2 linked regions of the Tamandua tetradactyla genome follow. The protein of the gene in region 2 purifies or fractionates together with the protein of the main gene of each other region. This does not show direct contact. Links are inferred from orthologs where the notes say so. Each region holds a gene or a part of one and is shown on either strand. Other genes may lie near its edges.

What was found. The genes of interacting proteins can lie anywhere in the genome.
Region 1: the proteins of STAT3 (region 2) and HDAC3 purify together in Homo sapiens (affinity purification with western blotting; 4 studies listed by BioGRID). This does not show direct contact. The link is inferred for Tamandua tetradactyla from reciprocal best matches to the Homo sapiens genes STAT3 and HDAC3.

The regions. Positions count from the first base shown.
Region 1 is NC_135346.1:21,769,380-21,777,153, reverse strand, and holds the start of HDAC3 (histone deacetylase 3), read left to right. Parts: upstream 1-4,772; 5' UTR 4,773-4,831; coding exon 4,832-4,886; intron 4,887-4,991; coding exon 4,992-5,074; intron 5,075-6,307; coding exon 6,308-6,450; intron 6,451-7,774. Other genes in the region: FCHSD1 (F-BAR and double SH3 domains protein 1), read left to right, coding at 1-69; RELL2 (RELT-like protein 2), read right to left, coding at 1,098-1,130, 1,229-1,604, 1,893-2,078, 2,525-2,591, 2,702-2,767, 3,165-3,348. UniProt on the Homo sapiens protein: Histone deacetylase that catalyzes the deacetylation of lysine residues on the N-terminal part of the core histones (H2A, H2B, H3 and H4), and some other non-histone substrates.
Region 2 is NC_135332.1:24,835,126-24,842,323, reverse strand, and holds the start of STAT3 (signal transducer and activator of transcription 3), read right to left. Parts: upstream 3,005-7,198; 5' UTR 2,789-3,004; intron 2,673-2,788; exon of another isoform or gene 2,521-2,672; intron 1-2,520. UniProt on the Homo sapiens protein: Signal transducer and transcription activator that mediates cellular responses to interleukins, KITLG/SCF, LEP and other growth factors. Once activated, recruits coactivators, such as NCOA1 or MED1, to the promoter region of the target gene.

The sequences.
Region 1 (7,774 bases), on a different chromosome or scaffold from region 2:
CAGGGTGTTCACTGCCCCCCAGTGATGCTGCTGTCAACCCCACGCTGTCAGAGACCACTCCCTCAATGATCCTGAACAACACAGCCAAAAGCTGGAATCTACCCCCATTTCTACTCTCATCCCAGGGATAGAAACTTTTCTTCTCACCCATTTCTGGGGCTGGAACCCATTCTCCTTCTGCCATCTCTATAGATAGCTGCCCCTTCCTCTTCCACCACTACCCCATCTCTAGGGCTGGAATCCCCTCTACCCCATCCTGAAAGCTCTGGGGCTGGAACCCACCTCTCCAAAGTCTTGAGTGGCTCTGACCCATCTGCATCTCCATCCCAGCTCTTTGCCCCACTGCACCCTGGATACCTGGGGCTGGGGCCAGGACAGGGGCAGGCTTTGGGAGTCAGAAGGAGCTAGAGCCAGGAGGCAAAAGCAGCTGTAATGGTCTGAGCGGATTTATTGACAGTGAATAAAGGGCAAGAAGCCCAAGCTGGGACCTCTTGTGCCAAGAGGGCAGGGGGCCTAAGTTACTATTGCTTTAGGGGCCCACCAAGGGCAGGGGTCTGCTCCCATCTGCCAGTGCTAGAGCATATGGAGCCAGAGGTATTGGGGAAGGTGGGTCAGATGGCCTGTTGGCAGGCAGGGGAAGGTAAAGAAACTGGGAGGTGAGGTGGGAGGGACTTCTCCCAAGGTCCCCAGCCTGAGACCGTGCAAATCCAGGTGGAAGTAGGGCTGGTCCTTCAGCTGGGGGCAGTGCTGTCCAGTGGAGGGGAGGCACTTCATGCCCACCCCCTGTCGCTGGCTCTGCCAGCTGGTAGTCCGTGCAGCGCAGTGAAGAATGAGGCTTGGAGGAGAAAGAGGGTAACAGTGTTGCCTCCTATTCAGGCTCTATCCCAGCCTTTCCCAAGTGGTTGTAGGACCCTCCCTCATTTCCAGGTTCTAGAATATACCCCCTAGAAGCAGGCCCACTCCCCACCACTAAAGCAAGGAATATATAGCAAAAGCTAAAACCATAGCTGTTTACCCTGGGGGCTTGGGGAGCAGAAAGGCTTGAGTAGGGAGTGGGAGGATGAGGTTCCCTGCTTCAGGGTCTAGGAAGACTTACCTCATACACCGCCTGCTCCCCGTGGTGGGGACACCTGAGAGAAAGTGAGAGGGACCATATCAGCATCCCCCAGAGTAGCGAGCAATAATCTCAGCCCACCACGTCCCTCCACAGCCTTGGCCATCTTCATACCTGGTGATCTGAGGCGTTCGGTTTTGTGGGCTGTCCATTTGCTTCTCGACTGGGCAGCTCTGGGCCTGGGCCCCTCTCTCCAGCCCCCAGCACCGACTCTGCAGAGGCTCCACATTTCCCCTCAAGTGCACGAGGGACTACACTGCTGTCCCTGAGTCCTCCATTCTGCACTCGGGGGCTGGCGAGGGCCTGGGGCTGTAGCCCCTCAGGGGGCAGCCTCTCACTGGCAAGCATCCCTGCCCTGGGCTGCCCTCCCCCAGATCCCTGACTGCCCACCGGGTCCTGCCCCCCACCAGAGCCCCAGCTTCTGTCTGTAGGGGAGCCATCACGATGCTCATGCAGCCCATAGCGCTTCTCAATGTGTGTCACCCGGAACCTGGGAGGGGAGGGAACACTGGGGCTTAGGATCACAACTCAGACACTGCTTGGCCCTCCCCTCCAACCAGGGACATCCACTTCCCTCCAGCCTAAGGCATGGGAGGCCCCCTCAGACTGGGGGGCACATTGTGCCATCTGATTATTGCTACAACTCCCAGCCCAAGAGGAAGGAGCCAGCGCCTTAGTGGGTCCTGCATGGAACCCCACCAGGCCCACCTTTGGAATGAGATGCCTGATCTTTAGGGCCCCCACCTCTCTCCCTTTCCCTGGGGCACTCTATCCCCACCTGCCTACAGAGAACACAGTGGTCTCCCCAGGCCGGGGGCGGCTCTTTCCTTCCTTGGAGCGGCCCTGACGGACAAGTGGGGGCCTCTTGCTGCGGCTGCAGTGGATGCAGGGGGCTGCAGAGCCCAGGTGCACTGTGTGATGGTGGGAGGGGGCTCCGTCCTGTAGGCTGGAGGTGGCATCCACGCTGGACAGTAGGGATGAAGGGAGCAGGGATGACATTCCCACCTCCTTTCCTGTTCCATGTTTTCCTGTTCTTTCAGCATGCTCCTTAAACTCCCAGATGCCCCATTTTCCCTGAGCCACTACATTTGTTTTGTTGTCTTTGTCTAATAAAATCAATATTAAGATATTAGTGACCATGTGCTCTCCCTATCGGGACTGTTTGCTAAAAAGAGGGCTTGCTTAATCCAAAGGAGTGGCACTAGAGATGAATGGTAGGTTTGATGATATCCAGGTGGGAGATAATGGTTTGAAGCATTGATATTTCTACAAAACTTCCTATGGGTGAGTTAGATCTCCCCCCACCCCACGCCACCCCAACCAGCATGCAGAGAGACTGAGAGATTGTGCTGGAGGAGAGGTTATTCTCTAAAGCAAGCTAATCCATCATGGCCCATGTTCCCAGCTCACCTGGACATCTGCACTGTCCCTTCTCCTTCACTGTCCCCCAACATCTCCTTCAAGGCCTCAGCATTGGCTGAGGGGAGAAGGGAAAGATGGAGTCAACACAGGTAGAGGACAGTGCAAGAGTAAGTGGGGAGAGGTTGTAGGAACGCTGTCTTCAGGATGCCACACAGGTTAGCCCACCTTCATTTTGGATGATGCAGCGAACAATCCTCTCTACTGTGTCTTCATTCATGTCATCCTCCTCAGCTGAAGGATGAAAGGGGTTGGCAAAGAAGGGAGAAATGAATCAGCTTTGGGAGGACATTTAACTAGTGGCCCCCATGGCTTATTGGTTCAAATCATACCCCCCATCCCCCTGACCTATCTGCCATCATTCTGGACTTTAGTATTTCAGGGGTCAGGGCAGGAAAGATGGGGAAGTTAATGGGAACCCAAGGTTCTCATCTGTGGGAGATTCCCACCCACGCTGCCTCCTATGGTCTTGCTTGAGGGTGGTTCTGCAGACTCAAGGAAGCCCCACTATGCCTCTTGCAGGCTTGGGGACGATTGGACCTGGATATGTTGGCCTGGGAGGCAGAAAGCGTTGTGGGGAGATGGTAAGGGAGAAAGGAAACTGAACCAGGGATCCTGACTTCTCACTCACGGGGTTGGAGCTGGGTGTCATCTGGCTCTGAGCCCCTGGAGGTGCGGCAGCGGTAGCCCTTCTTCTTGAGCACGTGGCAGATCATGAAGCCTACCAGCCCCATGAGGAAGAAGACCAACACAAGCAGGAAGAGCATGTACAGCCCATGCTGGGGCGGCTCCAGGTCAGGCTGTGGTTCCGCCATGAGGCCCTAGGGGTTGAGCACGGGCCAGGGCGCCTTCTGGGGCAGATGGGGCTCAGCTAGGGATGGGGAGTGGGGAGGGTAGGAATGCCATCTTCAGGATCCCAAACAGGCAAGCCTCTGAGGTCCAGCCCCACCCCCTACCCAACCCGGGACCTGTCCAAGGGCGCGGGTTCGCCGAGACCCGCCCAGGCCGGGTCTGCGCAAGCCCTCTTTCCCGACCCTTGTCCCGCTTCCCCGACGCCCGGAGCTTTTCTTTTTCCATCTTGTCCCCGCTCTTCCGTCCCTCCCAAGGACACTGCAGCGCGAGATGGGACGCAATTCTCAGGCAGCGGCAGAGAAGTAGCGCCGGAGTCAGTGGCCGCACCACCTCTGCGCCGGCCTGGACCGGGCCTCTGCCTCCCCCTCCCCTGCTTGTGCTCCCGCCATCCTCCCATCTCCGTTTAAGATTCCTCCCACCCTGACCACCTGGCCCACCCGGTACCGGTGGTTCAGTTCCGGCTCCGGCTCCGGCTCGGGCTCGGGCTCCGGCTCCGGTCCCGGCTCCAGGGGCGTCCTAGTCCGGCTCAAGGCCCCCGACGCCCTCCCGGCTCTCATCCCTCGCTTCCTCCCCCTCCCCCCTTCTCCGCCTCACCGGCTCCGGGCTGCGGCTGCGGATACCGGTACCGCGGCAGGCGGGGGGAGGGAAGGATGGAGAGGGATGCCGGCTAGTTGGGAGCGTGGCACACCGGCCCTGGGAAGGGGAGCAATGGGGTGGGGGCGGGGGTGAGAGGGCGCCGCTGCGCGGGGTCTCCCAAATGCCTTCACCCGCCGGCGGTCCGGGACCTAGGGGCGGAGCGCAGGTGTGCGGGGCGGGGAGCGTGAGCTGTGTGCGCGTGTGAGCCCAAGTGTGGTGCGCGCGTGACTGCGCCGGGCCCCCGGGGGAGTGTGCGGCGCCGAGTCTGAGTCCCAGTCCCAGACAGGTGGTCCGACGGGGCTGCGCTCCCCGGGTTGATCCCGCACGCCTGGCGCGGCTCCTGCCCTCCGGTGCCTCTACCAGAAGAATGGCCAGGAATCTCCCCAGCGGGCTGGAGAAAGCAGGCTTTCTGCATCCGAGAGGGGCGGCGTGCCGGTTCTCCGGGGCTTCCTAGCGCGGTGGGCGCGGAGAGCACGGCCTGCGCCCCCTTTTGGACAGGCGGCTAGAAGGGATGAGCTCAGCTTCTAGAGGATTTGAACCCCGCCCGAAAGGAAATGGCCCTCGCATCCTAGGACCTACGTAAGGGTCCCAGGGCCAAGCCCGGATTCTCCAGCTCTACAGCTCAGATGGTTGAAGCGAGCCAAGAGGCGGGATTCCCGCAGGGGGCGTGGCATAGGCGTGGTCTCGGGAGGCGGGGCCTGTGATTTTCTCCGCAGAGGCGGGCTGCGTGTTTACGTAGCACGCACGGTCAGGGGTGGGGCTGGCGGGCCGGCGGGCGGTGGAGGCGCGGGCCCTGGTGCTGTAGTCACCATGGCCAAGACCGTGGCCTATTTCTACGACCCCGACGTGGGCAACTTCCACTATGGTGAGGCAACAGGGCTGTGCGCGAGGGGTTTCGGGACGCGGAGGTTTCGAGGCTGGGGCTGTAACTTCAGAGGTAGGAGCTGACAAACTCTCCTCTCACCCGCAGGTGCTGGGCACCCTATGAAGCCCCATCGCCTGGCATTGACCCATAGCCTCGTCCTGCACTACGGTCTCTATAAGAAGATGATCGTAAGTCCCACTGTCTCAGCCACGGTTCGGGGTGGGGTCGAGCTGTGTCCTTAGGCATAGGTGGGCTGCACTGGATGCACCAAGTGCGGCTCGCACCCCTACTGGAGGGGCTGATTAGAAAGCACTAAGAGCCCCTCGCTGTCTCCATAGTGTTAAGGGTGGCCTCCTCTGATTTAATGGGAATTACTTCTTCAAGTTAACCAGTCCTTGGCTAGGAGTAGGTGGGGTGGGACTGGTTTGAAGACATTTTGCATTTTTCGGTAGTGCTGTTGCCTCAGGGATGGGGGAGAGGCTGGACTCTCGTTTATCCTCAGTTCCACTCCACCTGTCGCCTCTCTCTCCATCTCCAAGGAGCTAGAGCTCTGGAAGGAGCATTCAGCAGTCATAAATGTAAATGTATTTGTGTGTGTAGGACTCAGGAGATGTCTTGAATGTCCCCTTTCCAACCTAGAACATCCATACATGGTTCTACTTCACCACTATCCAATCCTTCATCTCCCACATATACCCATGCTACCCCCAAGCTTGGAATTTATAGCTGCAATATGGAATTATAACCATTAGGCCCAACCGTTATACATTGTGAAGGGAATTAATGAATGTGATTTAATGTCCACTACTTATGTGGAGGCACAGATGAGTAGATTGGTCATAGAACAGGTTGAGGTGACATCAGTGCATGTATCTGTGAAATCCCTAGAATCATTTGTCATTTGGCTTTATGTACATGTGTGCATTTACTGGGGAGAGAAAAGCTCCTGTGTTCTTGCCCAATTTCCAACAGGATGTGTGAATCCCCAAAAGGATACTAAATATCTAGTTTAGCCCCTTGGTTCTCATACCCCATAGTATTTGATTCCAGAATGAAGAAGAACCCAGCGGGCAGAGCAGATAGAAGAAGAGCCCAGGAGTAGGAGACCCACAGAACAGGACAGGAATCAGGGTTCAAGATTGAGAAGGCAGACGAGACTGGGCTAGAGGTGGGAAGGAGGAAGCAAGCCCAGTGATCTTCAGGGGGCATGACTGTAGTAAACCACCTGGCTAATTGTAGCCTCTTCCATCTCAGACTGAACTTTTGCATCATAGAGTGACAGGGATCAAGATCGGAGAGGGTGGGGGGAGGACTGCTATATGTGGTTTTGGACAATCCCCAGGGCTTGGCTCAGTGTGAGTGGTTTCAGTTCATGAATGGGGCTGACCCCGCCTGCTGTCATCTTGTGTCTCCATCCCAAGGTCTTCAAGCCATACCAGGCTTCCCAGCATGACATGTGCCGCTTCCACTCTGAGGACTACATTGACTTCCTACAGAGAGTCAGCCCCACCAATATGCAAGGCTTCACCAAGAGCCTTAATGCCTTCAACGTGGGCGATGACTGGTGAGGGCGGTCTGGGACTTTGGATGCCAGGCACCTTGAAGGAGGGGGATACTTGAGTGAGGTTTTGTGGCAGCAGTGGGAGGTGATGAAAGGGGCTTGCTTATCAGTGGTTCATCCTCTCTTTGTTTATTTGACAAATATTTATTGATAATTTACTGTAAGCCGGGCCCTGTGCTAAGTGCTGAGAATGAAATGATGAACAATCAAATAAAAAAGTGGGGAGAAAGAGAAGGATGGGAAGCCCATCATGGAGTGTACAATGTAGTGTGAAGGCAATCATAATCGACAAATAAATGTAAGGTTGTAGTTGTGCTAAGTCCTACAAAGGAGAGGTACATGACAGACTATGAGACTATATAGCTGGAAAAATAATCTAATTTGGGGGCAGGCTGGTTAGGGGAGGCTTCCTGGAGGGAATAATGATGACTGAATTGAGATCTGAAGGAAGAGTTGAAGGTGAAAGAAGGTTGGGTGGATGGAGGGTGAGGGGAAGCATGTAGTGGGCAGTGGGGGTCTGTGCTAAGGGTCTGTGGTAGGACTGAGTATGACTCATTTGAGGAACAGAGAAAGGCCAAGTACATAATATAAAGAGAATGATCTGAATCAAGTCTAAAGAGTTAGGTGGGGCCCAACTTCTTAAGCAGCCCTGTTATGAATCGGAGTTTCTACCCTCAGAGGAGAGGGAAGCCACCAAAGTGTTTTAAAAAATAAGGAGGGTGACTTGACCAAGTTTACATCGAGTTTGTATCATAGTCAGGGCTTGTAGAAGACTCAGGCCTAGGTACTGTGGGAAAGAGGGCAGAGAACAAAGCTAAGCCATGATCCTTCCTTACTGTTCTGGTATACAACCATGAAAAAATCATAACTGTAACAGCTGCCTTTACTCAATTTTATTTATTTTCATTTTTAAGCTTTTATTAGGGAAAATTTCAAATGTTTCTAAAAGTAGAATTATACAGTGACTTCCCATTTCTCTACTATGCAGCTTCTACAATTATGAGCATGTGGCCAATTCTATTTTATCTGTACCCCCTCAGGTTAGATTGTTTTTAAGTGAATTCCAGATGTTGCATTCTTTCTATTCTTAAAGACTTTATTTATGTATTTTCAAATGATATGCTTAAAAAATATGTAACCACATCATCATAACAACTAAAAATTAACAATAATTTCTTAATATCAAATATGCAGTGTTCACATTTCCCCAGATGTCTCATAACGTTTTTTTTTTTTGCAGTTGGTTGTTCTAAACAAATTCTGCCCAGGCTTTTTTTTTTTGTTCTTCTAATCATTTCTTTTTTTTTAGTTTTTAAAATTTTTATAA
Region 2 (7,198 bases):
TCTCCCCACAAAAGGACAGAATCGACATTCCTTGATCTTGCATTCAAGAACTTTTATAAATAGGCCCTTTTCCTCCCCTACTTATATTCCTGACCTACCAAGATTTTGTTCATGCTATATTCCCATACCACCACACCCCAAATTCTTTACACCCATCAAAATTCCACCCATTATATGGGACCCAATTCCTATCACCCCTTTTACCAAGAAGAGTTCCTTGACAATTCCAGCACTCATAACTTGTCTTCTCAAGACCTATAGCTCTTAGTCAAGTACTGTCCAGCAGAACTATCTGGATAACAGAAATGTTCTACATCTGTACTAAATGTTCTCTTATATATAATGGGTATATTATTGCTAGCACTTCTTTTATGACACGTTACCCTGGATGGTTAAACCATTTATAAAGTTTTCCTAGCAGACTGAAAGTTCTGTGAACAAGATACATTTTATTCTTCACCAGCAACTTTCACAAAGTTACAAACAGTAAATTTTTTTTTTACTTATTTGTACACCACCTCTTAGGAAACCATGAGCTGAGATGTCTGGAAGGATGGTCACCATCGCTAACCCATCTTCACATCTGAATGTGAAGGGCTGAGGAGGAAACAAAAAGAGAATACCTTCCTGGAGACACCAGATACTAATGCTCAAGACACAAAGCACTCTGGTTTAGGTGGCATTTAGGTCATGATTGTCCTTCATTTACAAACTTTCCTAAGTAAATACCTCTTTTCATTAGCCAAATAGCGAAATTCTTACGTAAATTATCCCTACTAAATTTAAACATAGCAGTTAGACAGAAAAATAACCTAAGCAAGTCCTATTAAGTACTTCTTTTTTCACCTGTTCATGAATCAATCTCTGTCTTCCGTTAAGTCATATAGCCTGCTAGAGGTATTTCACTGTTCAGATATATGTCAAAATTTCACTGGCACTTTTCCCAAGCAAGGCCTACACTCTCTCTAAATCAAGGCTTTATAAGTAAGCATTACTTACCTGTGTAAGAACACAAAATGTACAGGCAATAGTACTTTCACCACTATGGCACTCTGCTCCCTTGGAGCAAGTGTCTTCTTCCTTTGGCCTCAATTTCCTTATTTCCAAAATGGGTAAATATTAATATAAACTACCTACCTCACAAGCCCTTTGTAGGTCAAGTCATAACTGTGGGTATTTCTAACAGGTTCTTCTTCCCAAAAGAACTATATTTAAAAACAAAAGATCCCTGACTTTGCTAACAGTTCTTTGAGGTGGGTCTGCTAACAAATATAGAGACTAAGATTAACCCTCTGACATTTAAAGCAATTTTTTCTTCGTTATTCCAGACTTCTTTCCCCCACCTCACTGTGCAAATGTCTGAACAAAAATTCTGCTAGTACTCCAGTCTGGCACATGTAATAAGGAAATAAACGTGTTGACTCAAGGAACACAGACATATTTAACAAAAAAAAATAGAAATATGGCTGAATCGAGTCCTAATGCAATCTAAACCCACATATACAAGATCAAGATAAGTTACTATTTTGATTTATTCAAATCAATGCTTATTAGTGCAGCCAGCCAAAAAGTTACAAACTAGGCACATAGTAAGTGTACCATTGACACACACACAATAAAGATCAGCAGGCACACACCATATACATTTTTTAATAAATAAAGCAACTAACCACTGATCGTGTCGACATATAGACACCCACTTGATATGAGTGCTGTATACTAAGCAAGGAAAAAGCAACTTGAATGATATAATTTTGCTAACTGAAGCACAACCCCAAACGCAGGTAAAGTTTGCACACATGACTTTGCCAAGGCCAGCCAGCCTGTCTTTGTTTCCCTCTCTTCTGCATTTACCCAAGATCTTGGCTCTGGGACAGAAAACTCCCACTCTCGATTGGTTCATTCTGTCCTATGCAATTAAGCAACACCACAATCCAGTAAGTGAAATGGCTCAATTATTTATCTTCTGACCGTGTTTATCAGGTATTCATAAAAGAACAATGTCAAGGAGGAAAGAGATTTATTCTTCTCTAGAGCTGGCTTGACTGGGGCTTTAGTTTGTTTTGTTTTTAGAAAAGGAGTGGGGGATGGGGAAAGCAAGCCTTGAACTACAACAAGATGTGAGGAAATTTAGAAAGCACAAGTCTGTCAATTTCCCTACAGGAAACTTGATTCTTATGCAACAATCCTACCCACAACCAACCAGCCCGTGGGGCTTTAGGATTAAGACACCTATTTCTCCCCCCAGAGAAGCAGAGCTGGCTCCTAAAGGAGCAGGAACCCGGCCAGGCTGAGAAATGGCTCTGCCGGGAGCCGCCGGATCCCTGCCCGCGGCGCGCGGGAGGAGGCTCTTCCCACGCGCCCCCCTACAGTGATCTCGCCCGCCTGACAGTCGCTCCTGAGGCCCGCACGTCTCCAGAGCCCCAGGGAGCAGGAAGTCGGAGAGCTGTCCCTCACGCCTGCCACCCCCGTCCCAGGGGGCCCTCGCCCCCATGGTCCACCCCTCGAACTCATTCTCACTTTTCCGCGGCTTCTCCCCTTTCTCTTGGAACGAAACTTCCTTCCAGCGCCCCTTCTGCCTTCAGAGGCCCGCTCCTGTCGGCCCTGGGAGGTGTCCCTTCAGAATGATCGAGCGCGCCCTCGTATCTCCCCGCCCCACTGAAGTTTCCATTCACACCCCCCTCCCTGAAAGACCCTCCCAGCGGCTTCCACCCTCTCTGGCGCCCGCCACGGTGCGTCAGGCCTGGGGGCCGTCCGGAGAGGCTGCCCCACCCTTCACCCCCTTCACCTGTCTCCCCGGTAGAGGCCCCACAGGCAAGGGCTGCGCTTGGGCCGGCGTGCGGGCACGGGGCTCCCTCAAGCCGCAGCGCCTCAGTTAGCACCGGCGGAGAGAGCGCGCCGAGTGGGGGTGCTGGTCAAAGATCCGGTTCGGGTTCAGGGCCTCCACTGAGACGTCGGAACCCCAAGCTCCCCCTCCCGGGTCTGCGCCGCAGCTCCGGAAACGGATGAATTACAGCCCCTCCAGCCAATCCCGCCCAGCCCCAGCCTGGCCTAGACACGCCTTTATGCATAATTCAAGAGATGGCCAGCTTTCTGGGCCACAGGAGGCCCCGCGGCTTGCCCTGTGCACGCGAAGCCACACCCACTGACCAATGAGAACAGCCGCTGGGGGGAAGGGCGGTGGCAAAAGAGGACTGGGGACGCCCCTGCGTTGGCTGTTCCGGAAGGCGTCGTGCTCCTCCCTCCGCAACGGCCCGGGAAGAGCTGAGGCCTTCGGCCCAGAAACCGGCAGGGAGGGAGGGAAGATGACCGGAATGTCCTGCTGAAAACTCAGCTGAGTTCCTGGCAGTGTGTGACGTCAAGACACTTTAAATGCCCCTGATGCGGCTCTCGCCTGCCGGCTCGCTCTTTTCCTGGCCCGTGGCGCCACGTGGGAGGAGGTTGGGAACCTTTTACCATGTGGGAATCAGCCAGTTAGACAGTCCCCACGTATAGCCAGATCCTCAGGGCTCCCAATTCCTGAATTGGATTTCTGGCGACAGCAAAAAGAACATGGGTATCTCCTGCCTGTTTTGAACTCAAGTTCTGTGTAAGTCGGGACACACACACCCGGAAACATGACATGGAAATAGAGTAATTGTTAGAGTGCGTGGGGAGACAGTAGTGAATTTAACCCTGTCCTCCGTTCCATCGCTTCAAGAATCAAACACCAACAGCTCGCCCGTTGGCGGGTACACGAGAATGCTGAAGATAATATATATGAAGGTTGACACGTATTTGACACAGTATTTGACATTTTGGGGCATCTGAGTTGAAATACCTTAACTTGCCAGCTTTTTCCCTTCACCTCATCTACTTTATATGCAGGTTTTACTGAATTGAAGCCAGTAGTCAATAGGAAGTGTAGATATTTTGCTTTACGTGATGTAGGATGAACTTTGCATAAGGGAGTGATTTCTTTGTTTTATTTGGCTGATACTATCAGGGCTTTTAAAAAATAAGTTATTGGTATTTCTGTTTGTTTAATGCAAACAGGTGTAAAGACGATATCTAAAAAGTCATCCTAACACCCAGATAACCCCTAATAATAGGTTTTCAAATGAAACTAATACAGGTTCTTGGTTAGAAAATTCAGAAAGGTCGAAAGTGAAAAATGAAAATTTATTCCTCCCCTTTCCCTCACCAGTTACCCCAGGATGACTGTTCTCATTAATTTCTGATGAGAAAATGAATGAGTCTTAACCTTTGAGGGGTAGGAGTCACAGACCCTTCAGAGAGTCGGAGTGGCATCTGGATTCTAACTCCAGAAAAATACAGCAAGAGCTTTTACTCACAAATTCACATGGTTCCCTGGCTACCTGAAGCCCCTCAGAATACTCTAGATTCAGACATATCCAAATAGCAGGTGAAAGCATCTGTAGGACAACTGATAGGGTCATTAGTGACAGGATTGAGAGTCTCCCACTGCTCTCCTGTACACCCAATCCAGTAAAGAAATTTCTGTACTTATCTGTATGGTGTGAGTGTGTGTGTGTGCATTTGTGTTGATTGCTCTGTTTATCTTATCTCCAGACCAGGACAGACATCTCCCACCTTCTACCTCAGCTAACTTCTGCTTTAGCTTTGCTGTTCCATGCAGTTGACTCCCTCTCTAATAACATAGTGCCTTTGTTTAGTGGTTTACTGCTAACAAAGCCCTTTCACACCCGTTATCTATTTTCTTTCTCACAACAATCATGTTTGACAAATAAGAGAGGTCATATTATTCACTGATAGGAAACTAAGGCCAAGATAGCTGACATCCTCAAGATCCCAGTGATTGATACTCAGAAGTAAACCAGTGGGTTTACAGCCACATTTTTGGACTCTGAATAGCTTAGCTTTGCTCCAGCCACTCAAAACCTGCCTTTCTCCCTAAGGGCTTTGTTTCCCTCACCAGCCCCACCTCACACACAAAATCTGCCCCTGAGCAGACTATCCACCTGACCTACAAAACCTCTCTCCAGTCCTGCCGCTGGCCTTTCTCCATACCTACTCAGAAGCACCCTTGGTTAAAGCAGATGGTTTCTGTCACTTGGGACAGTGCTGTGGCCCCCCGGAATATTCTCTCCTCACTCCAACCTTGTCCTTCGCCTGGCTGAGGTGGATGATGAAGGACATTATCCTAATAAATAAATAAATAAATAAATATCCAGTTGTGTTATGACCTGCTGAAAAATCTGTTTCCTATTACCTATAGGATAAAATCCCACCAAAATGAGAAATACTGAGCATCTAACAGAGCTGGGTATATGGTAGGAATTCAATTGTTCTTCTTTCCCTTTCTTAGTTTGACTCACAAAATCCTAAAAAGTCTCGCCTAGTCCCCTCCCCTGTTTTTAATTTGATTAGGCAAATCATTAAAAAAAAGTTGTGGTGGTGGTAATATATATACAAAATAACATTTTCTCTTTTAACCACACATTCAGATATATGTCAGTAGTGTTAAATCACAATGTTGCGCTACCATCACCACCGTCCCATACTAAAACTTGTCCATCACCGCAGACGGAAACTCCATACCCATTAAACATTAACATTCATTCTTCACCCCCACCTCCACCCCGGTACACTGTAATCTAGTTTCTCTCTCTATGAATTTGCATATTCTAATTATTTCATTTAAAGGAGACCCTAAAATATTTGTCCTTTTGTGTCTGGATACCACTCAACATGATGTCTTCAAGGTTCCTCCATGTTGTTGCATGTACCAGCACCTCATTTCTTTTTTATGGCTGAATAATACTCCATTGTAATATGTATATATCACATTTTGTTTCTCCCTCCATCTGTGGATGGACAGTTGGGTTGCTTCCATCTTTTTGACTATTGTACATAAAGCTTCTATGAACCTTAGTGAACAGATCTCTGTCTGATTCCTTGTTTTCCATTATTTTGGGTACGTACTTAGAAGAGGGATTGTTGGGTCATGTGGTCATTCTCTGTTTAACTTTTTTTTTTCTTTTTGGCTTTAGACAACAGAAATTTATTCTCTCGCAGTTCAGAAGGCCAGAAGGCCAAAATCAAGGTGTCAGCAAGATTGGTTCTTTATGGAGGCTCTGAGAGAAAATCAGTTCCATGCCTCTCTCCTCGCTTTTGGTGGTTGCCAGCAATTCCTGGTGTTTATGTTGAACTTTTTAAGAACTGCCAAACTGTTTTCTACAGCAGTAACACCATTTCACACTCCCACCCATAATGCACAAGTGTTCCTATTTCTCCACATCCTTGCCAGCGCTTGTTATTTTCCTTTTTTTAAGTAGTAGCCATTTGAGTATGGCCTAACCCCCATTTTCCAGTCTCTTCTCCTCTATCCCACGTACCCTATGCCCCCACGCTGGGCTTACTACCTTCCTCCAAACATGTCAGCACTTTCTACAACTCCACGCCTTTGCAGGTATTATTCCCTCTTCCTGAAAGACCTCCCCATCCTTGTTTCCTTCCCGAAGAACTCTTACCCTTCAAGGCCCCATTCCAACATTACCTCCTCTGGGCTTTCTTAGATTCTTCCTTGAAAATTTAAAATCTTGTTCTGCTGGACTTCCTCAGCGGGTTATTGCCACATCTAGCAAGCCATTTATCTTCTTGGACTGTAATGTATCCATTTATCAACCTACTTCCTGGTAAACAAAATTAATAATTAACATTTCGGAGTAATTAGTATGTTCCAGGAACTATGCTAATATAGTTCCTATAATATATATGCTAATATTATACAGCTAAGCTGTATAATGTTCCTTTTCATAAGCCCAGCTCCTAGCAGCCAGCTCAAAGCTCGCCCAATTCTGAATTAATTACATATTAATAAATATGTGTTGAATAATCATATCAGCAATAGCTACCACTTACAGAATGTTAACCAGGTACTAGCCACTGCTCTCAGCTTGTATTTACTCATGTGACACGTGTATTAATTTATTTAATCCTTTTGTCCTTACAGTAACTATAAGATACTATAATTTTATGGACAAGTAAAAACGAGGCTTACCCAAATTCAAGTGATTTACACAAGAACATAGATATGGTAAGTGGCAGAAACAGGATTCAAATCCAAATATGCCTCATTCAAGAGCCTGAATAGCTGTTCTTCCTGGACTTTATCTCTAGACCTCATGATCCTCTACGAGCCCCAAGGAAGGGACTAAAGGAGGAAAAAAGGTGG